Linked DNA regions of Mytilus edulis. The protein of the gene in region 1 binds, or shares a complex with, the protein of each later gene. Links are inferred from orthologs where the notes say so. Each region holds a gene or a part of one and is shown on either strand. Other genes may lie near its edges. The genes, in order: BBSome complex member BBS7-like and BBSome complex member BBS4-like.

Region 1 (16,177 bases):
GTTAGGAAATAGAGACTAAAATATTACAATATATTATAATAAGATATTTTCTTCTTGCTGTTGGACTCATCATGGCTAAAAATGACGAGTCCCTGGACTCTCCTTCAAAAATCCTTAGCGAGAACCCTGTTGTCTTATTGTTGGCATTCATACATGTACCACATATCGGTATTTCATATGAACCGAAAATCTGATATTCATTATTTTGTTTAACTTTCCCATACAGTCAATAGTCTCAATCTAATCATCTTTAAAAAAAAATCCTGAGTAGGAACTCTGTAGCTTTAGGTAAATGATAAACTCACCCTTTGCGTTTTGCCTACAGCTCCAGGAAATAACTTTGTTGATTTTTGTGATGTCACTCCAACCTATAACGATACATGTATAAGACATATCAGATTTGTGAAACTGTCAATAAACAAAATATAGATTCTTATTTGACTGGACAATCTGCATGATATGATGGCCAAATAAACTGATAGCTAACCCAACAGGCTCATGTAAATTCACAGATGAAACTTTATATCCCTGCCCCATTAGCTGTCAGGGTTCATGATCTCATATTAAACTTAAATTCTCATATTTGATTTGTTACATACAAAACAAGAATGTGTCCATAGTACACGGATGCCCCACTCCCACTATCATTTTCTATGTTCAGTGGACCGTGAAATTGGGGTCAAAACTTTAATTTGGAATTAAAATTAGAAAGATCATATCATAGGGAACATGTGTACTAAGTTTCAAGTTGATGTAACTTTAACTTCATCAAAAACTACCTTGACCAAAAACTTTAACCTGAACTTTGCACTATCATTTTCTATGTTCAGTGGACCATGAAATTGGGGTCAAAACTATAATTTTGCATTAAAATTAGAAAGATCATATCATGGGGAACATGTGTATTAAGTTTCAAGTTGATTGGACTTCAGCTTCATCAAAAACTACCTCGACCAAAAACTTTAACAGGACGGACGAACGGAGGCACAGACAGACGGACGGACGGACGAACGGAGGCACAGACCAGAGAACATAATGCCCCTCTACTATCGTAGGTGGGGCATAGAAATCCCAAAATGTAAAGAAAAATGTCATTAAAGGGCAACAACTCAAATAACAAGTTGACTGAATATTTTTGGCAATTAGAACTTATATGAGGTTTTGCTATTTTATCATAAATGTTTTTTTGTATATATATATCTATTACAGTTTCCATGATTTTTAATTATATTATTATTATAATTATATATTATATTGTAACACCACCTCTATAATGCCATTAGAGTACATTTTTAATGGAGCACCTCGTATATTTCATTTTTGTTAATTTCAGATATTTGACAGACATGAATGAAACACACACCTTTTGTCAAATTTAGTTTACGATATTTACATGATCATTATGATTAAGTGTCTTTTTTTAAATTGCACTCTGACAGCAATAGCTTCATAAGATATAGATCTGTTACACAGAAATATTCAACTATGCATTTAAAATATTGGGACAGCACTTTCAAATAATGATGAAGATACTGAGAGCTAGTTTGAAAAATGTCAATAGAGATAATACAAATGTAAATATAGCTCAACCTAGAAAATTTGCCACTGAAGGTAGCATAAAAGGTAGAAGTTTTCAATTGCGACTACATAATATGCCCATATGGCCATGAAAAACCTTCATCAATTGATATGGTTTCTGTTTATGCCACAAATCACTGATGATTAAAGGTAAATAACCAATTATAGTCATGATAGTGATTAAAAAAATGTAAAATGGGGGGAAATTTAATTCAGATCTTAGTCTGTTAGTCTAGTTTTAATTTTGTTAAAATATTAAGTCTTAAAAGAATTATTTTTCACAGGTAACACCTGCCTGATTTCTCACCATGCTCACCAGATATAATCATGATAATGCTGGGAATTGCATATATATATATATATATATATATATATATATATATATATATATATATATATATATATATATATATATATATATTACATATTATAGATCTGCTATTAACTTTACAGGATATAGTAAAGGGGGTCTCATTGGGGGGTCGGATCCTTCTTATTGTTTAGTGAGAATCCTGAATCCCACTTCACGTTACTATTATAGTGCATGTAATTTCCCGTGTCCCGTCGTTCTTTGTTTCCCGTTTTCACACTTAATTAGACTTTCATGTGTCACGATTTAAAAAAATCTGCCCATCCCGCATCACACTTATAACACCCCAATGAGACCCTCAGACAGGCACAGTAAATAATTAAAGTTTTCCTCAAGTTTTTCCGACTTCGTTCTCTTTCACAGGTACATGTACAGTGATATGCAGTGAAGTTTAGCATTTGATAGTTCATTGATAACATTCTGGCGTATCATAAACAAACAACTTGTAACGTCTCATTTCATTGGCGGAAAGATTTAAATACAACAGCAATGTAGTCAGTCTAGTCAGTGTGCACGTGAATTGACACAGGTGACCGACAATGGAATTTACTATGTTACTACGAACGTAAAAACAATGATTTGTATAGTTTACAAACCTTTGGCCAAAAGATTTAAATAAATGTTTTGCTAACTTCAAATAGTGAGGTCAAAAAAGTATACTGATATTCTAAGTTCTTTATGCATGCAGCAACTCAATTATCTTGTACCCGGCATGATGTCAGAGAAATATAAGGATAAAATAAAATACATGTGCCGCTTTTATACGGATGAATAAATGAACCACTTTTAATTTCTTTCATACCTACGATAGGTTATAATCCTTACAATGTCGTAGTCACTTATAAAGTATTTCATAATACTGATCCTGCTTTACAATAATTAATGATGGGTTGCACTGACATTCCTCCTTTATTATTGTCATGCTAAAACATACATACAGTAGCTACCATAAAAGGAGGAAGTTGTTCCCCAAAGATAGAAACAAAATAACTAATCGTATCAATTGTGCACCTGAATGAATTCAGTGAAGATTATTTCTTTCGAATGTTTGGAACTAAATAAATATTAATACTTGTGAGGAATGTCGTAGTTTATAAGGAACAACTCCCGTTTAAATTGTTTTTACATTGTCATTTCTGGGCCTTTTATAGCTGACTATGCGGTATGGGCTTTGCTCATTTTTGAAAGCCGTACCATGGCCTTTAGTTGTTAATTTCTGTGTCATTGTGGTCTCTTGTGGAGAGTTGTGGCATTGGCAATCATACCACATCTTCTTTATTACATATAAATGTACTGTTTTCGATTATGAATGTGTGAATATTAATTTTTTAAATTTATACTGTAACAATAGAGTTGCATAACATTGTTGAACAATCCGCTAAAGTATATGTAGTATGTATTCGTATTTGAAATAAAATACAAAACGAAACGTGTATGATAAACTGATAAAAAATATCAAGAAATTAAGGATGACTAAATGTATGTACAAGATGAAACTCACCTTTTTATAAATACATTTAAATGATTTAATGAATACAGACATTGTTTGTTTGTATTTACATAGATATAGGAAGATGTGGTGTGAGTGCCAATAAGACAACTCTCCATCCAAATAACAATTTATAAAAGTAAACCATTATAGGTCAATGTAAGGCCTTCAATACAGAGCCTTGGCTCACACTGAACAACAAGCTATAAAGGGCCCCAAAATTACTAGTGTAAAACCATTCAACTTGGGAAAACCAACGGTTTAATATTTACAATATATAATTTACGTTCGTTTTTTCAACCGAGAATAGCAAAACCTCATGAATTATATCGTTTGTATAAACTTCATTTAATTATCCGCTGTGCCATGATTGGCCATCTCCATTTTTTTCTTAACAAAGCGTGTTACATGTTATGAATTTACTTACAATTTTGGAATTTATTTTTTTCCTTCAAGTTATAATGGAATCAGAAAAAAAATCACTATTCTATGAAGAATATCTAAAACTTGGCAAACAATATGAAAAGTGTTTGTAGTAAAGTATACAGTTTCATTTTTCAAGTACAACGTTAATTCATCGAGTCCATTGAGTAAAAGAGAAGGCAGGATAAGCAACTTGGGTGTGTCAATGAAAAAAAATATGTGAATTGAGGTTTTTTTTTTATCCTACATTAAACTTTTGATGTCGTCCCTTGATTTAGAGGAGATATTTAAATTGAATATTTTAACTGTTAAGATTTTAAAGTTTAAACTTTACTACCAATTAATTGCAGAAAATTATAACACAAATGAATTTCACATGCACATTAAGCTAGAATTGTGATTAGAATCATGCATGCGAATACGACGATAGAAGCTTTAGACGACCTTGACCAGCTACGTGAATATTAATCAGTCCATTCAACGTTAAAGTACGCGTGTTCTATTTTTGCAGGTGTGAGGTCGAAGGTTTGAATTGACCAATGAAAACGATCGTTCCTTAGAGAGTTAATCTAATAAAGTTTGTTTGTCTGATTATGTCGGCTTTCGGGTCGATCCGGCCCCACGTCGATCCGGCCCAAGTCGATCCGTCCCACGTCGATCCGGCCCCACGTCGATCCGGCCCAAATGTAAAGTCGATCCGGCCCCAATAAAAAAAAATATTTCTAAGGAATAAAAATAAATATATATTAATTGTAATTCATAAATGTTTATTATTTTTATTATAATGTTAAAGGTGTACGGTAAAAAAAAGTAAAAAAGGCCTTTGAAAAATATTTTCTTTAGATGAGTATAAAACAACTAGGTTGATTATGTCTTTATTACAAGTTTTTAAGATTATTGGGTATAATTATATTAAAACGTATATAAAAAAATTCAGACATCAACATTAATCAGCAGTAATGTAATTAGCATTTTCTTTCAATTGACTGTGATCCTAACAAGTCTTTCATCTTGTGTAACATATAATAACAAATAGTTACATACATGAACGGTACAAGCCGATCCCCAAGCTGATAAATATTAACTTTTTTTTTTCTTTTTAGGTTCTTGACATTTCTAAAATTGAGAAATGTTGTTTGATTTGCCGAATCCTTTCTATGAACATGATAAAAGGGTGCTGATATTATATTTTAGAGAGTGAAAACGTGCATTCAATGTCATTGTTTTGTTGTTTTCTTGCAATAAAGAATAATGGATACTCATATGACTTCTTTTTTTTTTATCTACACACTATTCAAAATATTGTCAAAATAAGAAAAATATATTGACTATATCCGATGTTACAAAAAAATATTTTTATATGGTATAGAAGCCTATGATGTAACCTGGAAAAAAAATACAAATAATTATTTTAATATACACCAACCAGAAGATCAAACTATAAAGACCTTGTTGAAAAACGGATTACGTAACTTTAATTAATCAGCATTGGATTGAATTAAGTGATTTATCATTACGAGTCGCATTACCTTAGTTCACAATCATCAGACAACTGTTGAATAAACAAACCAATTATAGACTAATGATTTGATTAAATAAGTCATTATTATGCGTTAAATTTTATAGGTCCACTGGACTGTAAATATTTATTTAGCTATTCTGTGTGTGAACTGAATAAAATAAAAATCGCCATGAAATTCAAAGTAAAAGTTATCATGGAAAATAACTTCATAATTTAAAAATGAATAAAACTGCGATACAAACAGACACAATAACACTAATTTCCGTATGGATTTAAAATAGTTCGTTAACTGGTACTCCAATACTTCACTGACCTGTTGTCACCCATCATCAATCGGAGACTTTTTTCAAATTCCATTTATACTGTTAAAGTTTGTGACAAATTCCTCCAAAATCTAGTTAATTCATATTTTATTATGGGGCCGGATCGACTTGGGGACGGATCGACGTGGGCCGGATCGACTTGGGCCGGATCGACTTAGGGCCGGATTGACTTGGGGCCGGATCGGTTTGGGGCCGGAACGACCGGATACCATTATGTCGCACGACCTATCGCGAAGCTTGGCCGCAGTTGGGTATAACACCTCCCTCATATTAAAGTTAGGGAAGCTACACTTTCAAAAAAAATTGTTCATCTAATATAGTTGGTGGAATATAAAGAGTAAACTGTAGCCTATCTTAAACAGTTAAAGCTTGGTATGTTGGTCAAGCAGGAAAAACAATCTGCATCTTTGAGTTTGAGTGCAGCCTTTAAGTATGCATTAATTCTAATTTGAACTTGAACAAAAGATTGACATGTTATCATGTAGATAAATGAAATTCAACCTGGAGGTAATCAACTCGTGATAAGTTTAATTCCATCATCTTGAACGTATTTTGTATTTTGGAATGTTGAATGTTGCCAAGTATAGAACTTCCGGTATTGCTAAGTTATGCATCACGTATATAGTTAAATTTTTTCTCTCTCTTTTGAATAATTCATGGTCGTTGTTTTTAAACATTAATTTGATTCGTGGAAGATATTTTTCATTTAACCATAATTCATTAAGACAACATAATAGTTGTATTTGGAATCTCAGTCATGTCAAATGGAATGTTTAAAAAGTTCGGGAAAAAGGAGATTTTTACCTTAACTGTGAAGAGCTCTACCCAAATGATAAGGCTACCGGCTACATACCAATACGTGGCATTATAAGGATGGCAAGGATATATTTATTGCTTTTAATCTTAATGGTAATGATTTTTTGATACTTTACATTAATTTTCAGGTACCCGCAAAACTTTTGCACCATTATAAATTCAAAATGCATTGTTGATTGAACAAAAATATATCCACTGACTGTCATGCTCTATACATCATTACACAGTCATAGATGTACACATGTTCTTAGTTATGATAAACATGATATACGTGTATATAGTCAAGCATGTCAACAAAATGAATGTAAAAGAATGCTGGCATTGTTTTCTCTATTGACCATCAATGATCAGATACTGAGTCATCTGATACGCATACATTTACTTTCTGAAGCAAATTGTATACAATACATATTTTCAAATAAGGGAATTTCACAGAAAAATCTGCATTAAAAAGCAAGGTTCAGCTTATACAAGGTGTGTTTTGACCCAAAAGTTATCCTAGGTCAACAGCATGATAGGGACATTTGATTCATCATGTTCATAATTAAAACAAAGTCCAAACAAGTCTTTTTTGTACTCATTGGTTTGTAAAACTGCTGTCAGTTTAGGAATTTCAAAGTTCAAATAACTTTGGAATCAGAACATTGTATTTTGATTTATTTAACAGTCAGGGGACTTACTTAAACAAGTGATTTTCTAAATCACTGATTCAAGTAACATTATTTCCATAAAGGTTTGAAGTTAGAGTTGTCTTTCTTTAATAATCACCTATTTAAGTAGTACAAATTAATCACTAGAAGAAGTGATTTAATATTAGTGTAGCTTTAAATATAGAATACTAATGATCCAGGGACTAATTATGTTTCTAAACTTATCAGAACCAACATCTGTGTTGTCTAGGATGACCAGGTCATTTCAGGTGATGACCTTGTACTGAATCTAGGATAATGACATAAAAATCACTTGTTTAAGTGTCAGACCTCAATTTCCTTCCCAAAATCACTTCTTTAAGTATCATTCTTTTAATAACCCCCACTAATTTCAACACCCCCGAACAGTGAAATTTTTATCGCGAACAGTAGAATTTTATTACATAATCTGAAAGATGAAACCTTGAACTTCACAGGAAAAATACTCCCACTGCTGTGAAAAATCTTTGAAGAAAGTATCAGTTCATTATGTAAAGCCATTATTGTAGCATTTTTTCAACTAAAATAGAATTTTCAGGTAAATGATAGCATCAAAGGCATAAACCTTGCTACTTAAAAGAAGCAAAAAGTTCATATTTTTTAATTTTACTAATTAAAAGATGTTATTTAATCCTATGTGTTTAAAATTTTGAAAAAACTACAAAATCCCAATTTGTGACAAAACCTTGAATTTGCTACTCAAATAAGTGATTTAAAAATCACTTATTTCAGTAAGTCCCCTGACTGTTTAAGATAAACTTTAGTTGATATTATTGTTTTTTTAAATACAAAATTATCTGTACATGTATCACAACTTCAGAGCCCAAGGCTGACACTGTCACATGACTGTTTTGTATGTTATCAAGTGGACATGAAGCTGAAATCTGAAACAAAGCAATTTAATAAAATTATAGTTGTTTAAATGAGCCACAGAAAGTACAAATCACAATTTTTAACCCCTACCACAAACTGTTCATATTTAATGTGTCCTTAGAACTACAAAAAAAGTTGAAATGTGACTTAATTTTCAACAAATACATCTACATTAGCATGTTATACATTAATGAAGTTCCTAAGTCATGTAAGTCAATGTAAGTAAATAAAATTTATGAACCAGAACACTTGGATTTGAAAAGTTGAGTAGTGAAATTACTTTAAACATGTTTAAACTTAAATATGTTTGTTAAAAGAAAGTGGTTTAATTTAATGTATTTTGATCAAACTAAGACAATTTCTTGAAAGTAAAGCTGAGATTAGATGCTTTCAGGTTATTAGTGAATTAAGAATATGGTTGTTCACACATTTTGTCAGTCGTGTTAGTAGATAGCATTTATAGAGAGGCAAATTTTTAATAACAAAACTTGTGCTAGACAAATGAAATTGAAGTTAAATATAAGTTATCTCCCTTTGTTCATTATACTTTGTCACTGATACACACGATTATGATTATATGATAGTATTATACTTTTACATTTTAAAATTGGAGAAGAACACACATCCATGTGTGTGTGTACATGTGTTGGTCTTCATGTTCTTTGAGCATGTTAGATGAGATCTACAGCTTAATTAAAATAGGATTACAATACAAAAATGTGCTAATAAATATTGAAGCAGTCTAAACAACAAGCCAGTTCTAATACACTCATGGGTAGTACTTGTACAAGTATTATTTTAAAATATACACATATAAGTTAGTTATAACATATAATGTTTGAATAATCTCCCCTTAATTTTCTCAAAAAATCACTTGTAATTTTTCTTACAATCTCGCAACAATTCTCAAGTTTAGAGATGTAAAATCATGTCTTTAATGATTTTTCCCAGGTTAGCTCATAATTTTTGATAAGAGTTCAATGTTTCATCTCATTATTTCAACAAAGAAACTGATTGTGCAAAGATCTTAAGTATTTGTGCAAGGCCTTCAAAAATTGCTCCTTGGGGCTTGTAAATGAGCAGTGTTCTGAAGATAACAGACAAACAGGATTTTCATTTCCCATGAAATTACACTGAAATGATTAGTAAAGACATCTGCAAAGGGCAGACAAATTAAGATTCTATAAGAGCAAAGAAATCCTAAGAATTCAAGAAAAGAAGATAGGATGACTTTTTTACTTATACAAGTAAAAAAATCTGAATGTGTAAGGGACATAACTAAGCCAATTTTTTTGTTACCTACACAACATGTGCAAGTAAATAAAATTCACTTGTACAAGTATCCTACAAATTAACTTATAAGTGTATATTTATTTTTACTTCCTCAAGTAGTACCCCTGACTGTAATATTATAAGTTGATTTCAGGCCAAAAAAGAAAACACAATACTTGTACATGATGTATCAAGGTTTCCCTACCTATCCTTTTGTTACCATGGTAATGCCTCAAATTGCCTACCCTTAAGTTTTTATTGCTTCTGTTATTGGCAGTAAATCTCAACAAAAATTAAAGGTCTCTCCATGTTTCAAAGGTATAAAAATATTGAGATAGATGAAAAGGAATTAATATGTAGACCTTAATTTTCTTGAGTCATGAATGTAAGTAGGAAATCTGAAATATACATGTATATTGAAACAATACTGTACAAAATTCTAATCTTTTAAATGAAAAACTTTATATTTCCCAAACATTATGAACAATGCCTTCTGAGATAAAGAAGACCACATAAGAGATGAGGTCACTAGGTCAAATGTAAAAGTCATAACATGTCTAAATAAAGTTTTGGTTTTTATAATTTATCTCATAGTCATTTATATTTTTTTAAATGTTAATTGATTTTACAAGTATATTATCAGTCAGGGGACTTACTTAAACAAGTGATTTTCTAAATCACTGATTCAAGTAACATTATTTCCATAAAGGTTTGAAGTTAGAGTTGTCTTTCTTTAATAATCACCTATTTAAGTAGTACAAATTAATCACTAGAAGAAGTGATTTAATATTAGTGTAGCTTTAAATATAGAATACTAATGATCCAGGGACTAATTATGTTTCTAAACTTATCAGAACCAACATCTGTGTTGTCTAGGATGACCAGGTCATTTCAGGTGATGACCTTGTACTGAATCTAGGATAATGACATAAAAATCACTTGTTTAAGTGTCAGACCTCAATTTCCTTCCCAAAATCACTTCTTTAAGTATCATTCTTTTAATAACCCCCACTAATTTCAACACCCCCGAACAGTGAAATTTTTATCGCGAACAGTAGAATTTTATTACATAATCTGAAAGATGAAACCTTGAACTTCACAGGAAAAATACTCCCACTGCTGTGAAAAATCTTTGAAGAAAGTATCAGTTCATTATGTAAAGCCATTATTATAGCATTTTTTCAACTAAAATAGAATTTTCAGGTAAATGATAGCATCAAAGGCATAAACCTTGCTACTTAAAAGAAGCAAAAAGTTCATATTTTTTAATTTTACTAATTAAAAGATGTTATTTAATCCTATGTGTTTAAAATTTTGAAAAAACTACAAAATCCCAATTTGTGACAAAACCTTGAATTTGCTACTCAAATAAGTGATTTAAAAATCACTTATTTCAGTAAGTCCCCTGACTGTTTAAGATAAACTTTAGTTGATATTATTGTTTTTTTAAATACAAAATTATCTGTACATGTATCACAACTTCAGAGCCCAAGGCTGACACTGTCACATGACTGTTTTGTATGTTATCAAGTGGACATGAAGCTGAAATCTGAAACAAAGCAATTTAATAAAATTATAGTTGTTTAAATGAGCCACAGAAAGTACAAATCACAATTTTTAACCCCTACCACAAACTGTTCATATTTAATGTGTCCTTAGAACTACAAAAAAAGTTGAAATGTGACTTAATTTTCAACAAATACATCTACATTAGCATGTTATACATTAATGAAGTTCCTAAGTCATGTAAGTCAATGTAAGTAAATAAAATTTATGAACCAGAACACTTGGATTTGAAAAGTTGAGTAGTGAAATTACTTTAAACATGTTTAAACTTAAATATGTTTGTTAAAAGAAAGTGGTTTAATTTAATGTATTTTGATCAAACTAAGACAATTTCTTGAAAGTAAAGCTGAGATTAGATGCTTTCAGGTTATTAGTGAATTAAGAATATGGTTGTTCACACATTTTGTCAGTCGTGTTAGTAGATAGCATTTATAGAGAGGCAAATTTTTAATAACAAAACTTGTGCTAGACAAATGAAATTGAAGTTAAATATAAGTTATCTCCCTTTGTTCATTATACTTTGTCACTGATACACACGATTATGATTATATGATAGTATTATACTTTTACATTTTAAAATTGGAGAAGAACACACATCCATGTGTGTGTGTACATGTGTTGGTCTTCATGTTCTTTGAGCATGTTAGATGAGATCTACAGCTTAATTAAAATAGGATTACAATACAAAAATGTGCTAATAAATATTGAAGCAGTCTAAACAACAAGCCAGTTCTAATACACTCATGGGTAGTACTTGTACAAGTATTATTTTAAAATATACACATATAAGTTAGTTATAACATATAATGTTTGAATAATCTCCCCTTAATTTTCTCAAAAAATCACTTGTAATTTTTCTTACAATCTCGCAACAATTCTCAAGTTTAGAGATGTAAAATCATGTCTTTAATGATTTTTCCCAGGTTAGCTCATAATTTTTGATAAGAGTTCAATGTTTCATCTCATTATTTCAACAAAGAAACTGATTGTGCAAAGATCTTAAGTATTTGTGCAAGGCCTTCAAAAATTGCTCCTTGGGGCTTGTAAATGAGCAGTGTTCTGAAGATAACAGACAAACAGGATTTTCATTTCCCATGAAATTACACTGAAATGATTAGTAAAGACATCTGCAAAGGGCAGACAAATTAAGATTCTATAAGAGCAAAGAAATCCTAAGAATTCAAGAAAAGAAGATAGGATGACTTTTTTACTTATACAAGTAAAAAAATCTGAATGTGTAAGGGACATAACTAAGCCAATTTTTTTGTTACCTACACAACATGTGCAAGTAAATAAAATTCACTTGTACAAGTATCCTACAAATTAACTTATAAGTGTATATTTATTTTTACTTCCTCAAGTAGTACCCCTGACTGTAATATTATAAGTTGATTTCAGGCCAAAAAAGAAAACACAATACTTGTACATGATGTATCAAGGTTTCCCTACCTATCCTTTTGTTACCATGGTAATGCCTCAAATTGCCTACCCTTAAGTTTTTATTGCTTCTGTTATTGGCAGTAAATCTCAACAAAAATTAAAGGTCTCTCCATGTTTCAAAGGTATAAAAATATTGAGATAGATGAAAAGGAATTAATATGTAGACCTTAATTTTCTTGAGTCATGAATGTAAGTAGGAAATCTGAAATATACATGTATATTGAAACAATACTGTACAAAATTCTAATCTTTTAAATGAAAAACTTTATATTTCCCAAACATTATGAACAATGCCTTCTGAGATAAAGAAGACCACATAAGAGATGAGGTCACTAGGTCAAATGTAAAAGTCATAACATGTCTAAATAAAGTTTTGGTTTTTATAATTTATCTCATAGTCATTTATATTTTTTTAAATGTTAATTGATTTTACAAGTATATTATCAGTCAGGGGACTTACTTAAACAAGTGATTTTCTAAATCACTGATTCAAGTAACATTATTTCCATAAAGGTTTGAAGTTAGAGTTGTCTTTCTTTAATAATCACCTATTTAAGTAGTACAAATTAATCACTAGAAGAAGTGATTTAATATTAGTGTAGCTTTAAATATAGAATACTAATGATCCAGGGACTAATTATGTTTCTAAACTTATCAGAACCAACATCTGTGTTGTCTAGGATGACCAGGTCATTTCAGGTGATGACCTTGTACTGAATCTAGGATAATGACATAAAAATCACTTGTTTAAGTGTCAGACCTCAATTTCCTTCCCAAAATCACTTCTTTAAGTATCATTCTTTTAATAACCCCCACTAATTTCAACACCCCCGAACAGTGAAATTTTTATCGCGAACAGTAGAATTTTATTACATAATCTGAAAGATGAAACCTTGAACTTCACAGGAAAAATACTCCCACTGCTGTGAAAAATCTTTGAAGAAAGTATCAGTTCATTATGTAAAGCCATTATTATAGCATTTTTTCAACTAAAATAGAATTTTCAGGTAAATGATAGCATCAAAGGCATAAACCTTGCTACTTAAAAGAAGCAAAAAGTTCATATTTTTTAATTTTACTAATTAAAAGATGTTATTTAATCCTATGTGTTTAAAATTTTGAAAAAACTACAAAATCCCAATTTGTGACAAAACCTTGAATTTGCTACTCAAATAAGTGATTTAAAAATCACTTATTTCAGTAAGTCCCCTGACTGTTTAAGATAAACTTTAGTTGATATTATTGTTTTTTTAAATACAAAATTATCTGTACATGTATCACAACTTCAGAGCCCAAGGCTGACACTGTCACATGACTGTTTTGTATGTTATCAAGTGGACATGAAGCTGAAATCTGAAACAAAGCAATTTAATAAAATTATAGTTGTTTAAATGAGCCACAGAAAGTACAAATCACAATTTTTAACCCCTACCACAAACTGTTCATATTTAATGTGTCCTTAGAACTACAAAAAAAGTTGAAATGTGACTTAATTTTCAACAAATACATCTACATTAGCATGTTATACATTAATGAAGTTCCTAAGTCATGTAAGTCAATGTAAGTAAATAAAATTTATGAACCAGAACACTTGGATTTGAAAAGTTGAGTAGTGAAATTACTTTAAACATGTTTAAACTTAAATATGTTTGTTAAAAGAAAGTGGTTTAATTTAATGTATTTTGATCAAACTAAGACAATTTCTTGAAAGTAAAGCTGAGATTAGATGCTTTCAGGTTATTAGTGAATTAAGAATATGGTTGTTCACACATTTTGTCAGTCGTGTTAGTAGATAGCATTTATAGAGAGGCAAATTTTTAATAACAAAACTTGTGCTAGACAAATGAAATTGAAGTTAAATATAAGTTATCTCCCTTTGTTCATTATACTTTGTCACTGATACACACGATTATGATTATATGATAGTATTATACTTTTACATTTTAAAATTGGAGAAGAACACACATCCATGTGTGTGTGTACATGTGTTGGTCTTCATGTTCTTTGAGCATGTTAGATGAGATCTACAGCTTAATTAAAATAGGATTACAATACAAAAATGTGCTAATAAATATTGAAGCAGTCTAAACAACAAGCCAGTTCTAATACACTCATGGGTAGTACTTGTACAAGTATTATTTTAAAATATACACATATAAGTTAGTTATAACATATAATGTTTGAATAATCTCCCCTTAATTTTCTCAAAAAATCACTTGTAATTTTTCTTACAATCTCGCAACAATTCTCAAGTTTAGAGATGTAAAATCATGTCTTTAATGATTTTTCCCAGGTTAGCTCATAATTTTTGATAAGAGTTCAATGTTTCATCTCATTATTTCAACAAAGAAACTGATTGTGCAAAGATCTTAAGTATTTGTGCAAGGCCTTCAAAAATTGCTCCTTGGGGCTTGTAAATGAGCAGTGTTCTGAAGATAACAGACAAACAGGATTTTCATTTCCCATGAAATTACACTGAAATGATTAGTAAAGACATCTGCAAAGGGCAGACAAATTAAGATTCTATAAGAGCAAAGAAATCCTAAGAATTCAAGAAAAGAAGATAGGATGACTTTTTTACTTATACAAGTAAAAAAATCTGAATGTGTAAGGGACATAACTAAGCCAATTTTTTTGTTACCTACACAACATGTGCAAGTAAATAAAATTCACTTGTACAAGTATCCTACAAATTAACTTATAAGTGTATATTTATTTTTACTTCCTCAAGTAGTACCCCTGACTGTAATATTATAAGTTGATTTCAGGCCAAAAAAGAAAACACAATACTTGTACATGATGTATCAAGGTTTCCCTACCTATCCTTTTGTTACCATGGTAATGCCTCAAATTGCCTACCCTTAAGTTTTTATTGCTTCTGTTATTGGCAGTAAATCTCAACAAAAATTAAAGGTCTCTCCATGTTTCAAAGGTATAAAAATATTGAGATAGATGAAAAGGAATTAATATGTAGACCTTAATTTTCTTGAGTCATGAATGTAAGTAGGAAATTTGAAATATACATGTATATTGAAACAATACTGTACAAAATTCTAATCTTTTAAATGAAAAACTTTATATTTCCCAAACATTATGAACAATGCCTTCTGAGATAAAGAAGACCACATAAGAGATGAGGTCACTAGGTCAAATGTAAAAGTCATAACATGTCTAAATAAAGTTTTGGTTTTTATAATTTATCTCATAGTCATTTATATTTTTTTAAATGTTAATTGATTTTACAAGTATATTATCAGTCAGGGGACTTACTTAAACAAGTGATTTTCTAAATCACTGATTCAAGTAACATTATTTCCATAAAGGTTTGAAGTTAGAGTTGTCTTTCTTTAATAATCACCTATTTAAGTAGTACAAATTAATCACTAGAAGAAGTGATTTAATATTAGTGTAGCTTTAAATATAGAATACTAATGATCCAGGGACTAATTATGTTTCTAAACTTATCAGAACCAACATCTGTGTTGTCTAGGATGACCAGGTCATTTCAGGTGATGACCTTGTACTGAATCTAGGATAATGACATAAAAATCACTTGTTTAAGTGTCAGACCTCAATTTCCTTCCCAAAATCACTTCTTTAAGTATCATTCTTTTAATAACCCCCACTAATTTCAACACCCCCGAACAGTGAAATTTTTATCGCGAACAGTAGAATTTTATTACATAATCTGAAAGATGAAACCTTGAACTTCACAGGAAAAATACTCCCACTGCTGTGAAAAATCTTTGAAGAAAGTATCAGTTCATTATGTAAAGCCATTATTATAGCATTTTTTCAACTAAAATAGAATTTTCA
Region 2 (15,793 bases), on another chromosome or scaffold:
ATAAATCCAAAACTTAAAATCTGAAATTTATAAAAATTGAAAGGGAGCTTACATCAATAGATATAAACAATTCACCAAAGTTTCATGGACATTGGTGAAAGCCTTTTTGAGTTATTGTCCGAAGTGTTAAAAAATCTCCCTTTTTTTATGAATAAAGCCCCATAAATCCAAAACTTAAAATCTGAAATTTATAAGAATTGAAAGGGAGCTTACATCAATAGATATAAACAATTTACCAAAGTTGCATAAAATTTTGTGAAAGTTATTGTCCCAAAATTGGAAAATCCCCCCTTTTTTAAGCATAAAAATTCATAACACTGAAATGTAAAATCTGAAATTTATAAAAATTGAAAGGGAGCTTACATCAATAGATATAAACAATTCACCAAAGTTTCATGGACATTGGTGAAAGCCTTTTTGAGTTATTGTCCGAAGTGTTGAAAATCCCCCTTTTTTTTATGAATAAAGCCCCATAAATCCAAAACTTAAAATCTGAAATTTATAAGAATTGAAAGGGAGCTTACATCAATAGATATAAACAATTCACCAAAGTTTCATGGACATTGGTGAAAGCCTTTTTGAGTTATTGTCCGAAGTGTTGAAAATCCCCCTTTTTTTATGAATAAAGCCCCATAAATCCAAAACTTAAAATCTGAAATTTATAAAAATTGAAAGGGAGCTTACATCAATAGATATAAACAATTCACCAAAGTTTCATGGACATTGGTGAAAGCCTTTTTGAGTTATTGTCCGAAGTGTTGAAAATCTCCCTTTTTTTATGAATAAAGCCCCATAAATCCAAAACTTAAAATCTGAAATTTATAAGAATTGAAAGGGAGCTTACATCAATAGATATAAACAATTTACCAAAGTTGCATAAAATTTTGTGAAAGTTATTGTCCCAAAATTGGAAAATCCCCCCTTTTTTAAGCATAAAAATTCATAACACTGAAATGTAAAATCTGAAATTTATAAAAATTGAAAGGGAGCTTACATCAATAGATATAAACAATTCACCAAAGTTTCATGGACATTGGTGAAAGCCTTTTTGAGTTATTGTCCGAAGTGTTGAAAATCCCCCTTTTTTTTATGAATAAAGCCCCATAAATCCAAAACTTAAAATCTGAAATTTATAAGAATTGAAAGGGAGCTTACATCAATAGATATAAACAATTCACCAAAGTTTCATGGACATTGGTGAAAGCCTTTTTGAGTTATTGTCCGAAGTGTTGAAAATCCCCCTTTTTTTATGAATAAAGCCCCATAAATCCAAAACTTAAAATCTGAAATTTATAAAAATTGAAAGGGAGCTTACATCAATAGATATAAACAATTCACCAAAGTTTCATGGACATTGGTGAAAGCCTTTTTGAGTTATTGTCTGAAGTGTTGAAAATCCCCCCTTTTTTATGAATAAAGCCCCATAAATCCAAAACTTAAAATCTGAAATTAAAAAAAAACGAAAGGGAGCTTACGTCAATAGATATAAACAATTCACTAAAGTTTCATGGAAATTGGTGAAAGTGTTTTTGAGTTATTGTCCGAAGTGTGGACGACGGACGGACGGACAACGGTATACCATAATACATCCCGTCTAAAAGACGACGGGCGTATAAAAAGTTATGAAAATGTTATTGTGGTCAATATCATCTGTAGCGATAATAGAAACATATCCTTATTTTTCGATTTTGTACAAGTTAAAACCATTTTTAAGCAATCTTTTGTACAGGTTATATAACGTGTATGGTGTACTTTTGTACATGTTATAACTTGTATTTTTGCATTATGCAAGTTATAACATGTACAATATTTTTGTACATGTTATAACCTGTACAAAATCGCAACTTGTACACGACATATATACTAGGACCAATTCATTTAGTTTTCACTCTTTATCTATATATATGTCGTGTACAAGTTGCGATTTTGTACAGGTTATAACATGTACAAATATATTGTACATGTTATAACTTGTATAATGCAAAAATACAAGTTATAACATGTACAAAAGTACCTCATACATGTTATAACCTGTACAAAATATTGCTTAAAATTGGTTTTAACTTGTACAAAATTTAATATAAATCTTAATGAAGTAAAATATACATTTAAATTCACCAATGCATAAAGAACAACAATGAATAGGCCAGAACGAGTCTTTTTCTGTAGAGGACAATGATCACAAAGTTTCAGAAATATATGTATCATGACTTATGTTGGCAAAATGTGTTTTCATATAATTCTATGTTTTATGCAGTCCATCATGGCTTAAATAAGTGTTAAACTATTTACTAAAAGCTTGCATTCCTCTATGACAATTACATTAGATACTAGTAACTAAATTCTTCCAAAAAATTTAAGAAGGATTCCTTATAATTTTGGCAAATACTCCTCCCTCTCGTTTTTATAGCATGCAAAGACTAAAACAATATATTATATGCTTACTCTGTAAAAGTAAGAGAGAGCTGAAATAGTTTTCATTGGACCACGCTTCATTATCAATATCTTTGGATCTACTCTTCAACATTTTTGGCCTTCAGCATGACTTATGTAAATTTATAACTCAATTTTTGTTTATAAACTATAAGATCATTGCATGAGGCGAATGTCATTTTGATGTTTTAAATATATATCATCTACTTTGAAAGCATGTATTTGTGGCCTTTGGATGTTGTCTGCTCCATGGGCAGGTTGTTGTCCTTTAGACACATACCCCATTTCAATTCCCAATTTTATTTGTAGACACATCTATCCTGGCTATCCTCTTATGTCTTTAAGTGTCAACTAGAAAGAAAGTATTTTGCTATTGCCTTCAAAGTGGACACTCACAATTATAATTCACTAAATAAAGATATGTCCATAGATAGTCATAAGAGGATCATAAGACATGTCCTAAGATATGTCTTATGACAGGTCTTAGGAATGCTTCGTAATACCGACCCCTGGACAATAACTGTATCAAAAAAGAACAAAACACACTAACATGAAGGAATAATACAAAAGTTATGAAAATGTTATTGAGGTGAATATCATCTGTTGCAATAATAGAAAAATATCCTTATTTTTCGATTTTGTACAAGTTAAAACCATTTTTAAGCAATATTTTGTACAGGTTATAACATGTATGAGGTACTTTTGTACATGTTATAACTTTTATTTTTGCATTATACAAGTTATAACATGTACAATATTTTTGTACATGTTATAACCTGTACAAAATCGCAACTTGTACACGACATATATATCCAGAAGTTTTTCTTTTATTTCAATATACTCATTTATGTATTGTTTTTAAAGAAAATAAATGTATGCCTTTCCAAATGACAAATGTATAAAGAAATTTCAATATTCCTTTTTTTATTTTTGCTTTATATTTAAATGCATCAAATAAATTTAAGCAGACATGATTTGTAGAACAGAATGCAACCCTCTGTCGCACCGTGAAAAGTCGTAAGGTTGTAAGTCACTGGCGTTGATGGAATATGCTCCTAAACTTGGCCTGCTACAAATCAAATCATGCACATGGGTCTATTTTGTTAGATGAGGGTTGGAAGGAGGAACAATTTGATAAATAGAATTGAATAAATATATTTAGTTGTTTTCTTGAACCTTTACAATTCAATCACAAAGACACTACACAAATGTGCTTTCAATATACACTGTGATAAGACTGAGAGAAAAAAGTGCTATTAAAGGAACAAATTACAGCCGCACAATAAAGATCGAATGGAGGAATTACTCATTGACATAATTAGTATAAAAAATGATATGGTAACATCCTATATAAAAGGCGTAATAATTTGCATAAAGCAGTGCCATGGAAAGATAAATAATTGGAGGACAAATAAAACCACGCACAAAAAGACGATTAACAAACAGTCCACAAGACATTACAATCAACACGTGTGTGAAAATGTTTATGTTAAACGAAGAAGTATATCAATAGGCCAATATTTCTCATAGTTAAGATTTATACATCTTGGATTTTTTTTTCGAGAAATATTAATACGAGTTCGTTGATCGATGTGGAATACCTGTTTCACAGATTAATCAAGGGCGTAGCTAGAAAGAAACGATGTGGAAGCAACTACCGCCGAGCGGAGCGAGGCGAAAAAAATTTGGGACCCTATTATGCAGCAAATTTTTTTTTTCGGTTTTCGGTCATAGGACGGTTAAAAGAGGAGCTATATGTAGATAAAAATTTATGAATGTAAAACTATTAATAAATCTTCTGAATATAGTAATACATAAACAACACATAATTGTGATACAGAATTTACTCAAAATTGTCCAAAATCTGCTCTTCGGGTCTGGTCAGAAACAAACTTCTCTATTACTTTGTCAACATTCACACTGAAATCCCGATGAATATGCAGTAATGCTATGTAACTTTCGTTGTTCATTGTTGATCGTACATTTGTTTTCAATTACATACGTAGTACCGTGACTGATAGATCTCAGGGCCATCATGGCATGCTAGCACTCGAGAGATGTTATAAACCAGCGTACGTGTTCGGCATCGAGCGACCTCCCAATTGAATTCGTCAAAATTACATGCTAGGTCAGTTTCGTATGTTTCAGACAATATTGAGATTTGTTCGTTTGTGATATTTCCTACAACACGATGAAGCAGATACAGCACAAAGAAGCGATTTTCTGATAGCTTGACGCGACCCCACTCTCCAGTTGCCTTATCAAATGGTCTATTCTATGAACGCAAAAAATAATGAGACTTTCCAATACTGTTTTGGCGTGGTTGCAGGGTGATTGGCTCCGGTAGTCTGTCAACCACATCGCCTCGGCATATTTTCAACGATATCGAAGGGATCTGATAATTCTAATGCCGATTGGTACATCTCATTCCAAACTGATGAACTGTACACTGTAAAATGTGCTCCAAAACTACATATCTTAGACTGAGTATTACAAATTCAAAAGTAAAAATCTTGCAAAAGATACAAGTACCCTTCCGATTTTGTCATAATCTCCAAAAACAAACCCAATTATTTTGAAACCAAATGTCGTTATTTAATGATATTTCATCAATTAAAAAAAGTGACAACATAGTTGTTTCCTTTAACATTCAATTTATAAATTTTTATTTTGCCATTTCTTTTTTTGTATGCCGAATCAATGTGCACGCAACTTCGGAGCTAACGTTACGATCATTTTCTGAATGAACAGCTTCATCAACACTTGTAACTAGGTTGTCAAACTAATATCCGGGATAGACAGAAAAGACACCAACAGTCTCCGATTCCGATTGATCAACATATCTCTCTCTCTTCTGCTTTTTTTTTTTTTTTTTTTTTTTGTGAAAACGACGTGGATGCACGTGCTGTCGTGCCTCCGGGTAGCTACGCCCCTGTAATAATACGTACACTTTCTAATTGACCGGGGCACCTGATATATTCCCAAGTTTTCTTTTTTGGGTTTTAGTTTTGGTGGATTCGTGCTGCTTTAGATTCCTATGTTTATTGTTGTTTTTTTGTTGTTTTTTTTTTCATCCTCTTTTTTTATTATTATTACTTTCCATGGCGTAGTCCGTTGTTCTACGACTACACGTTTTGAGCGTCCCTGTGTATCATCCGCCTTTATTTCTTTTTTTACCGTACGGCCTTCAACAATGAGCAGAACTCATACTGTAGCAAATGCATAAAAATCCAGAAAAACGCCTCTTGCTTAAATTGACTAGGTGCAAGGACGATTTCATTAATGAATGTTGGTCTCTTCTGCTTATTATTCGAATTTGGAAATGTTTCTTGAACTTCTATGGTTTAGCTCAATACTTGTACTGAATTTGCATGTGTTGTATACTTTACGGCAAGTTGGAAAAAACTTGAAATTTGGTTGTTGGTCCGAATTTGTCAAAAGAGGTTATATAAAAGGGACACAAATAGAAACTTGGGCACGGTAGTTACGTTATACAGATTGGAAGCCATGATATTTTTTCACTCAAAAGGTGCAAATAATGGTGCTAAATTCGAGATACGAATAGATTAGCATATTTTAAGCTCAGAATATTTACATACGGTATATTCGACTTGGTATAGATAAATGAGAGGAGATGTGGGGTATACTCCAATGTGACAGCAATCCAACGATTTACCAAAAGACAACCAAAAGTCCATGTTCTATCTTTACTAAACGTTCAAGCTCTAAGTCTCTCCATATCCCAAAAAGTGGTGAGTAAATTAAAGGGGGAAAATGAATAGAAACTATCAAAGATCTGAAGAAAAAAACTTTACTTACCAAACCAAAAAAACATGAGAGAGACCTATAACTGTTTTAGACAAACAGATTTCATAACTGTTAGTATAACACTAGAAATGTATTATGATTGCAAATGAGACAACTAGTATACAGATCATCAGTTTTTTTTTTATTTCAATGAATTATAAAGCTATTAAACAGATTGTTTTTGCGATACAGTGTGATTTATTAATCAAAATAGTATTTTATAAGCCAGGAACCTGCAGTAAAACGAAATTAGTCTACAGTTTCAGATTATAAATAATGAAATAAGCCTCAGCACATAATTTCACTCCGATTTATCGAGGGAACCTCAAACATGTTTACCATCTGCCTTATTAGGGATCAATAATTCTGAAATATTTAGATTTAAAATTTATTTGCTGTTATTAGTTTAGAAAAAAAGTTCAAAATACTTTGTTTAAAATACTTTAGTTATTGAATTTAGGTGATTTAATTTTTTTGTTGTAACAATTATAACATTTTAATTATAAACATTTTATTTATATGCAACAAAATTTCAACACCCCAGAACATGAAATATATAGTTGATTCAATATTTCACAGCTTGAATTTCCTTAACAGAGTGGTTGCTGCTTACAAGGATTCAAACTGATTAAGTGGACGGCGCCCTTTGTTATTTAGATTGTTAAGTTTTCCATTTTGTGCTTTGTAGACTGCCGGCTGACTTTGTCTGTTGGTTCGTTTTTAACATGGTTTTGTCCCTTTGTCTTTGACTATGAGTTTAGTATCCATAAGGTATCTTCTGCTCTCTTTTAAAAAATGTAAAAATGTAAAATGTACACACTTATTGACATTTTTTATTGCAGTAATGTTGAACTTATTGTTTTCTCTTACCATTCATGTGAATGTTAACTACATTGATATGCACTGTATTCTTAATAATGTCGGCTGAACCAAACGAATTTGCATGTATGTCCTTTAAGTTGTGCAACTGTATTTTGTTATGGTGTTGGGCGATTTGCCAGCGGGCGAGCTGTCTGGCTTCCACAGTGATTTATAATAAAAGTTAACAACGAATATACGAACAAATAATGGTATTTCGTATTACTACATGAAATCATATGGTGTCCTGTATGATTCTACATCTATAACATAACATACAAGACTTATTTAAAGTCGGTTATACATATAACAATACAACATAAGCTTTGTAGAGACTATAGTGGGGCGATTTTATATAAAGTGGGGCGAGTTGGTGAAAAAGTGGGTCGATTCGGTGTGGTCGATTTGCGGTGGGGCGAGTTGTCTCAAGTTGCTTCCACGTCGATATATTAAAAATAATACCAAAATAAAATAAACGGCAAAAAAAAACCAGAACAAATAATGGTAGAATCTCATTAGTATTGCTACATAAAATAGTGGTCTGTATGATTCTACATCTATGAATATCATGTTCATTCATATCGGATGGGTTAATTATTGGTACGTTATTATGCGTTGTTAGATATAATTGTTGGTCGTAGTCTTCACTGTAATGTTCGAGTGTTATATCGATTTAAAATATTGATGACTTCGAAATATTCAGTATTGGAATTTTTTGGAAAAAAGAAAATAGCTCTATTATTTTGAATTAATATATATTCAGGAATTATATATTCAACAAAGTTGTAAACACGAAAGGGATTAAATGATTTTTTGGTTGAACTCCCAAACTAGAATTCGAACAAACCTCTGTAACTATTCCTAACAATATGGCCGATGGAGTGCGAGAAGGCAGTCCACTGCCAGATAAAACTGTACTTACAGAAGTAGTTCAGGTATAAATAAGAAATATGTTGCTGTAAAATTCAGTTTCCATGTTATATTATCACTGTATATAAATCAATTGGCAGTCACTGCAAATACAAATACAATATAAATATTTCATTAGCACAAACTCATCAACAATAATAATATTAAATGGTAAAGGCTCATGGTATACATACCTGCCAACTGTCACTATTTGCGGGAGATGAGTGGGTCTTTTCACCGCCGAACACCACCACACACCACCGAACACCTGAAAAACCACCAACCACTAAAAACTTTGATATTATACAATAAAACGATAAAATAAATTAAATTACATATAATTTAATCAATTTTTCGATTTTTATGGGCATCATTTTTATGTTAAAATCGAAAATCAATACAAGAAAAAACGTCTCCGGATTCATCACTTTCAGGATTACATTGTGTGTTATAAAATTCAAATATATTCATAATCAGTAATCAGTTCAAGTATCCTGGATCTCTATTCATTGGTTAGATTTTTATATTTTTCTCTTTTATTATTATCGGTACAACTATTTTATAGAAGAGTTAGAAGAAGAAAAAATGGAAAAAGTATATTTGAAATGTCCATGAGGGTCAGCGGAGTTCAAAAAGTTGGGTGTTACAAGACTCTTCCTTTCTGTTTTCTGTAGATATTCGGACTTTAAATCTTCTTATTTGTTGAATTAATAACTTGAATATCATATTTAATTCACATTGATAACGATAAAAGACCAAATAATAAACTTTTGGGGTGTTCGGTGGTGTTCGGCGGTGTACGGTGGTGTTCGGTGGTGAAAAGACCTACCGGCAGGAGATTTCCTCCATGGAGGCTCCCAAATGAAAATTTTGAAAGAGCAATTTTTTCACCAATTTTAAACAAAACAATTAATTTTACAATGGCTATAGGCTTGTAAAAGTATGAAGAGGCCAAAAAACAACTATCGTAAAGTGGTTTTACTAAAACTGCATGTAATATAACAAAGACGTCTAAACTGGATGAATTTGTATTGATGACTGAAGTACAAGATAACGTCATAAGTAAACGACGTTGGATATACAATAATGAATGCCGCGTTACGTTAACGTTCTCTTCTGTGCGTGATTTCCAACAACAACATTTAAATGTATTTGAAGGCCTTCTTTAAGGATTTGTAGAATTATATAAGAGCCATCATGCACGTAAAAAACCCATGGGCATTTCGGAAAGTTGGCACTGGCAGGTACACATGTATGGGTATATCATCTACATAGTTGGTCAAACATAAGAAGTATTGCAAATAATGACTATATTATATTAAATATGTAATATTATAAGGCCTAAAAAAAAAAATCTGTGTTTCCGGTAACATCATTTTGAAAAACAGGGTCAGTTGATAACCATTTTTTTTTTTTTTTTTGAAGATCCAATAAAAAAATTTGGGTCGGGGCTAAAAAACAGGGTCGGTCTGGTTACCGGAAACTCAGATTTTTTTTTTCTCGGCCTAAACAATGATTATTGATTAGACATATTGACAATTTTATAAAGTTTGTTCTGCTTTACGCAGGTTCAGACTGTCTGAAATGAAAGAGGAAGTCAATTTTAGGATTGTGTATGAATTATTATTTAACAAAAAGATTATATTATTTTCATGTTTTTGAAATTTTGTAGGATCAATGATTATATTTGAAACTTTCTGTTAAAATATGGCCCTTTTAGTTGAGTATTTTTCACAATGTAAAAGAAAATGTTTTTCATTTTCAATTTGACCAGAATTACATACAGAGCAGTATCTCTCATTTCTGGGAATATTTAGATGTCTCCCTCTTTCAATCATCAGTATATGAGCGCTTATACCTTTATTACATATATCATGTATATTGCAGCTCTGTCACTTCTGTTTTTCAATATATCAACATAGGGTGGTCTTCTGCCCATTATGTAGACACTCTTGAACAAGTCTAACTTGGCTAGAAGAGTGTATGAAAAGACACTTTTTATTAGTATTTTTAAAAACACTAAACAATTCTATACATGTACATTGTACCTTGGCATGAATCCTGGTCCGTTCGCCAAAATCATGTTTGCTCCCATTCTCGTTCTCAGCATAGGGGGGTAGGAGGGGTCCTGAGCCCAAAATTCAGGACTTAAAAACATGAAATAGGAAGTCCCGAATTTAAAAAATCTAAATCCCACCATCCCAAAATTTGAAAAAACAAATTCTCGGATCCTGAAGATATTCTTTCCAACTGACTTAGTTTTAATAGAGTGTTCCTTTTGTAGGAGCCAGTGAAGATAGCAGGAGCATCAGACATAGACACCTCCTCTGATGTACCAAGTATACCAGCTGGTCCTCCCAAACCTAAACCAAAAAGAGGTATAGAATACATGTACACTTGATATTACTTGTATTTAACTTTATTATAGTATATATTATTTGTATTAAACAAAAATAGATTTTATGCATAAAATAATTACATTCAATGGCAATGCTTCTGCATCAATCATCCATGGTTATGATGATGATAGAGATAACAAATTGGTTAAGCATTAAAGCGCTATCTAAATAGTCAGGATAAAATCTCAAAATTAGGCCAGTTTAAGATGTTTAAAGTTCTAATGCCTATGTTTAAGGCAAAATTCTAAAATATTTTTATACTGATGTCTGTCAGACTGGTGACTTATGAGCATCTGTAGAATTTTATTTAATATATTTATCTTACTTCTTGATTTTGGTGAGTTATTGCATTTTGAATTGCTTGCATATTGTGTTTGCATTCTTCTGATTTTGTAGATGAATCTTTAAGTTTATCTTGATTTCCGTCTATCTCTGTCTATTGATTAATTTTGGTTTTCATTTTACAGTAAGTAAAATTTAAAGAAATGTTTTGTAAACTCCATCCTTATGATCTCCACTTTTGCTGGTGTGAATTCTGTATTAGGCACTGTTTTAATGTAAAACTAAGGAGATATTGGTTGAACTGACAATGAGACTTCTGAACACCAGAAACAAAAGGATGTTCATGTAATCAAACTTAGATTTAAAGAAAATATTCTAATTTTACTGAAGTTCTTTACTTTATTTATAGCACCAGAACTACCAATATTTGAGAGAAAGAATTGGTTGATTCATCTTCATTATGTCAGGAAGGAGTTTGATACATGTAAATCACTCATCAAAGAATCAATGGCCGAAAGTGGGGGCATGTGTGAATATGCTGTGTATGTCCAAGGTAGGATTGTTATGTAGTTTTATATACCAGTACTTTTGACAGGGAGTCTAGCTACATGTAGATAGAACTAAATAAGAGTTGGAATAGAAATATGCATGTAAAAAAAAAATATTTATACATTTGATAAATTTTTCCTGAATTTCATTAGTGAATATTGTATTATCACTTTAGTAGCAATCTAATAAGTTTTTGCAATGTTGCCACTGTAAAAATTAGCAGATATGCATGAGCCAGTGCTGTTTATCATGTATGTATTATTTCATTTTTTTATGAAGAAAACTTTTATAATACTTGTATTAAAAATTAAAAAAAACAACATATAAATTGAAAAATCTTCTGTTATTACATAATTATATTTTCAGCATTGATATTAAGACAGGAAGGTAGGATACAAGAATCTCTAGAACTGTTTCAGACCTGTACACTACTAAATCCTCATAGTGCTGATAATCTGAAGCAGGTAGCAAGATCACTGTAAGTCATAGTTTCATCTAGATCATGAATACTATATTAAGATTCACAACTAAAATTATTTTAAGGATTTTATTTTTAATAAACTTCAGTAGTATGAAAAAGAATCTTTAGAAATATCAAAATTGAAATGAAAAACTTGACACTAATGTGTACAAACATTTATTTACTTTAATGATGCACATTGATTTAGTTTAGAATATTGGTTTAAATTCATTTCAACACCAAATTGAAAAGTTTGTATTTATTCGAACAATGTGTTTGATTTTTTATTCAAAGGAAATGGATTTAACCTTGATTGTTCTAATTTTTGTCGAGCCTGCAACTTTTGTTGCAGAAAGCTCGACATAGGGATAGTGATCCGGCGGCAATGGCGGCGGCTACGGCGGCGGCGTTAGCTCACTTCTTAAAAGCTTTATATTTTAGAAGGTGGAAGACCTGGATGCTTCATACTTTGTATATAGATGCTTCATGTTACGAAGTTTCCGTCAGTCACATGTCCAATGTCCTTGACCTCATTTTCATGGTTCAGTGACCACTTGAAAAAAAAGTTCAAATTTTTTGTAATGTTGAATTCTCTCTTATTATAAGTAATAGGATAACTATATTTGATGTGTGCATACCTTGCAAGGTCCTCATGCCCGTCAGACATTTTTCACTTGACCTCGACCTCATTTCATGGATCAGTGAACAAGGTTAAGTTTTGGTGGTCAAGTCCATATCTCAGATACTATAAGCAATAGGGCTAGTATATTCGGTGTATGGAAGGACTGTAAGGTGTACATGTCCAACTGGCAGGTGTCATCTGACCTTGACCTCATTTTCATGGTTCAGTGGTTATAGTTAAATTTTTGTGTTTTGGTCTGTTTTTCTCATACCATATGCAATAGGTCTACTATATTTGTTGTATGGAATGATTGTTAAGTGTACATGTCTAGCGGGCAGATGTCATGTGACCTTGACCTCATTTTCATGGTTCAGTGGTCAAAGTTAAGTTTTTGAGTTTTGGTCTTTTTATCTAATGCTATATGCCATAGGTCAACTATATTTGGTGTATGGAAATATTTTATGATCTTAATGTCAGTCGAGCAGGTTTTATTTAACCGTGACCTCATTTTCACGGTTCATTGCACAGTGTTAAGTTTTTGTGTTTTGGTCTATTTTTCTTAAACTATAAGTAATGTGTCAACTATATATGTTGTATAGAAGCATTGTTAGCTGTACCTGTCTGCCTGGCATGGTTCATCTGACCTGGACCTCTTTTTCAAGGTTCATTGGTCTTTGTTTAGTTATCTTGGTTAATGTAAAGTTTATGTGACAGTTGTAATAAAGCTTAGATTTATACTTAAGACTATCAACATAATATCAATGATTAGTATAGAAGGCGAGACATTTCAGCGTGTGCACTCTTGTATATCTAAAGATAGTTTCTGAAACTATTTTAATGAACAGATTCCTATTGGCCAGACACAAAGCTGCCCTTGATGTTTATAATGAAGCCATAAAACTAAATGAGAGAGATTGGGTAAGTTGTTTAAGTTTTAACACATCACAGTTATAATTTTCCATATTTTGTTTTTAGATGACGAAAAAGGAGTATTTCATTGTTGTTTTTAAACAATATGAATAGGGGAAAAGTATAGTGAACCATTAAATTTGCATAATCTTTTCATAATTGTTGATTCTGTAATGTACAAATGTAATATTAACATCTATTTTGCCACTGAAGCTTTCAATTAATTTTTGTTTAAACTGAAAGTTTTACATACTAATTTTTTTGATTGTCAGGGTTGAGAAATTGAAAGTCAATTTGTGTTGTTCTGGAGTTACCTCCCATATAAGTGTAAAATTAGATTGAGTTGTCTCCCATATTGTGACTACATAAAATCTAACTATAAATTATGAAATAAATTTATTCATGAGAAATACAATATGCAGTATTCTAATTTGGATGTTTTAAATATTTACAGGAAATAGCTCACAACCAAGGAGTTTGTAACATGTACTTGAGAGAATATGACAAGGTATTTAGTCAAATAGAGAGAGAATATGACAAGGTATTTAGTCAAATAGAGAGAGGATATGACAAGGTATTTAGTCAAATAGAGAATATGACAAGGTATTTAGTCAAATAGAGAGAGAATATGACAAGGTATTTAGTCAAATAGAGAGAGAATATGACAAGGTATTTAGTCAAATAGAGAGAGAATATGACAAGGTATTTAGTCAAATAGAGAGAGAATATGACAAGGTATTTAGTCAAATAGAGAGAGAATATGACAAGGTATTTAGTCAAATAGAGAATATGACAAGGTATTTAGTCAAATAGAGAGAGAATATGACAAGGTATTTAGTCAAATAGAGAGAGAATATGACAAGGTATTTAGTCAAATAGAGAGAGAATATGACAAGGTATTTAGTCAAATAGAGAGAGAATATGACAAGGTATTTAGTCAAATAGAGAGAGAATATGACAAGGTATTTAGTCAAATAGAGAGAGAATATGACAAGGTATTTAGTGAATAGAGAGAGAATATGACAAGGTATTTAGTCAAATAGAGAGAGAATATGACAAGGTATTTAGTCAAATAGAGAGAGAATATGACAAGGTATTTAGTCAAATAGAGAATATGACAAGGTATTTAGTCAAATAGAGAGAATATGACAAGGTATTTAGTCAAATAGAGAGAGAATATGACAAGGTATTTAGTCAAATAGAGAATATGACAAGGTATTTAGTCAAATAGAGAGAGAATATGACAAGGTATTTAGTCAAATAGAGAGAGAATATGACAAGGTATTTAGTCAAATAGAGAGAGAATATGACAAGGTATTTAGTCAAATAGAGAGAGAATGTGACAAGGTATTTAGTCAAATAGAGAGAGAGTATGACAAGGTATTTAGTCAAATAGAGAGAGAATATGACAAGGTATTTAGTCAAATAGAGAGAGAGTATGACAAGGTATTTAGTCAAATAGAGAATATGACAAGGTATTTAGTCAAATAGAGAGAGAATATGACAAGGTATTTAGTCAAATAGAGAGAGAGTATGACAAGGTATTTAGTCAAATAGAGAGAGAATATGACAAGGTATTTAGTCAAATAGAGAGAGAATATGACAAGGTATTTAGTCAAATAGAGAGAGAATATGACAAGGTATTTAGTCAAATAGAGAGAGAATATGACAAGGTATTTAGTCAAATAGAGAGAGAATATGACAAGGTATTTAGTCAAATAGAGAGAGAATATGACAAGGTATTTAGTCAAATAGAGAATATGACAAGGTATTTAGTCAAATAGAGAGAGAGTATGACAAGGTATTTAGTCAAATAGAGAGAGAATATGACAAGGTATTTAGTCAAATAGAGAGAGAATATGACAAGATATTTAGTCAAATAGAGAGAATATGACAAGGTATTTAGTCAAATAGAGAGAGAGTATGACAAGGTATTTAGTCAAATAGAGAGAGAATATGACAAGGTATTTAGTCAAATAGAGAATATGACAAGGTATTTAGTCAAATAGAGAGAGAGTATGACAAGGTATTTAGTCAAATAGAGAGAATATGACAAGGTATTTAGTCAAATAGAGAGAGAATTTGACAAGGTATTTAGTCAAATAGAGAGAATATGACAAGGTATTTAGTCAAATAGAGAGAGAGTATGACAAGGTATTTAGTCAAATAAAGAGAGAATATGACAAGGTATTTAGTCAAATAGAGAGAGAATATGACAAGGTATTTAGTCAAATAGAGAGAGAATATGACAAGGTATTTGGTCAAATAGAGAGAATATGACAAGGTATTTAGTCAAATAGAGAATATGACAAGGTATTTAGTCAAATAGAGAGAGAGTATGACAAGGTATTTAGTCAAATAGAGAGAGAGTATGACAAGGTATTTAGTCAAATAGAGAGAGAATATGACAAGGTATTTAGTCAAATAGAGAGAGAATATGACAAGGTATTTAGTCAAATAGAGAGAGAATATGACAAGGTATTTAGTCAAATAGAGAGAGAATATGACAAGGTATTTAGTCAAATAGAGAGAGAATATGACAAGGTATTTAGTCAAATAGAGAGA

What was found.
Region 2: BBSome complex member BBS7-like (region 1) and BBSome complex member BBS4-like share a complex: the UniProt entries of both Caenorhabditis elegans proteins name them as parts of the BBSome complex. The link is inferred for Mytilus edulis from reciprocal best matches to the Caenorhabditis elegans genes osm-12 and bbs-4.

The regions. Positions count from the first base shown.
Region 1 is NC_092345.1:61,642,249-61,658,425, forward strand, and holds the start of BBSome complex member BBS7-like, read right to left. Parts: upstream 6,333-16,177; 5' UTR 6,246-6,332; coding exon 6,207-6,245; intron 369-6,206; coding exon 306-368; intron 1-305. Other genes in the region: protein disulfide-isomerase A5-like, read left to right, coding at 6,579-6,614. UniProt on the Caenorhabditis elegans protein: Component of the BBSome complex. The BBSome complex is thought to function as a coat complex required for sorting of specific membrane proteins to the primary cilia.
Region 2 is NC_092348.1:11,239,929-11,255,721, forward strand, and holds the start of BBSome complex member BBS4-like, read left to right. Parts: upstream 1-7,897; 5' UTR 7,898-7,967; coding exon 7,968-8,033; intron 8,034-10,291; coding exon 10,292-10,385; intron 10,386-11,097; coding exon 11,098-11,241; intron 11,242-11,603; coding exon 11,604-11,715; intron 11,716-13,164; coding exon 13,165-13,237; intron 13,238-13,682; coding exon 13,683-13,736; intron 13,737-15,793. UniProt on the Caenorhabditis elegans protein: Component of the BBSome complex. The BBSome complex is thought to function as a coat complex required for sorting of specific membrane proteins to the primary cilia.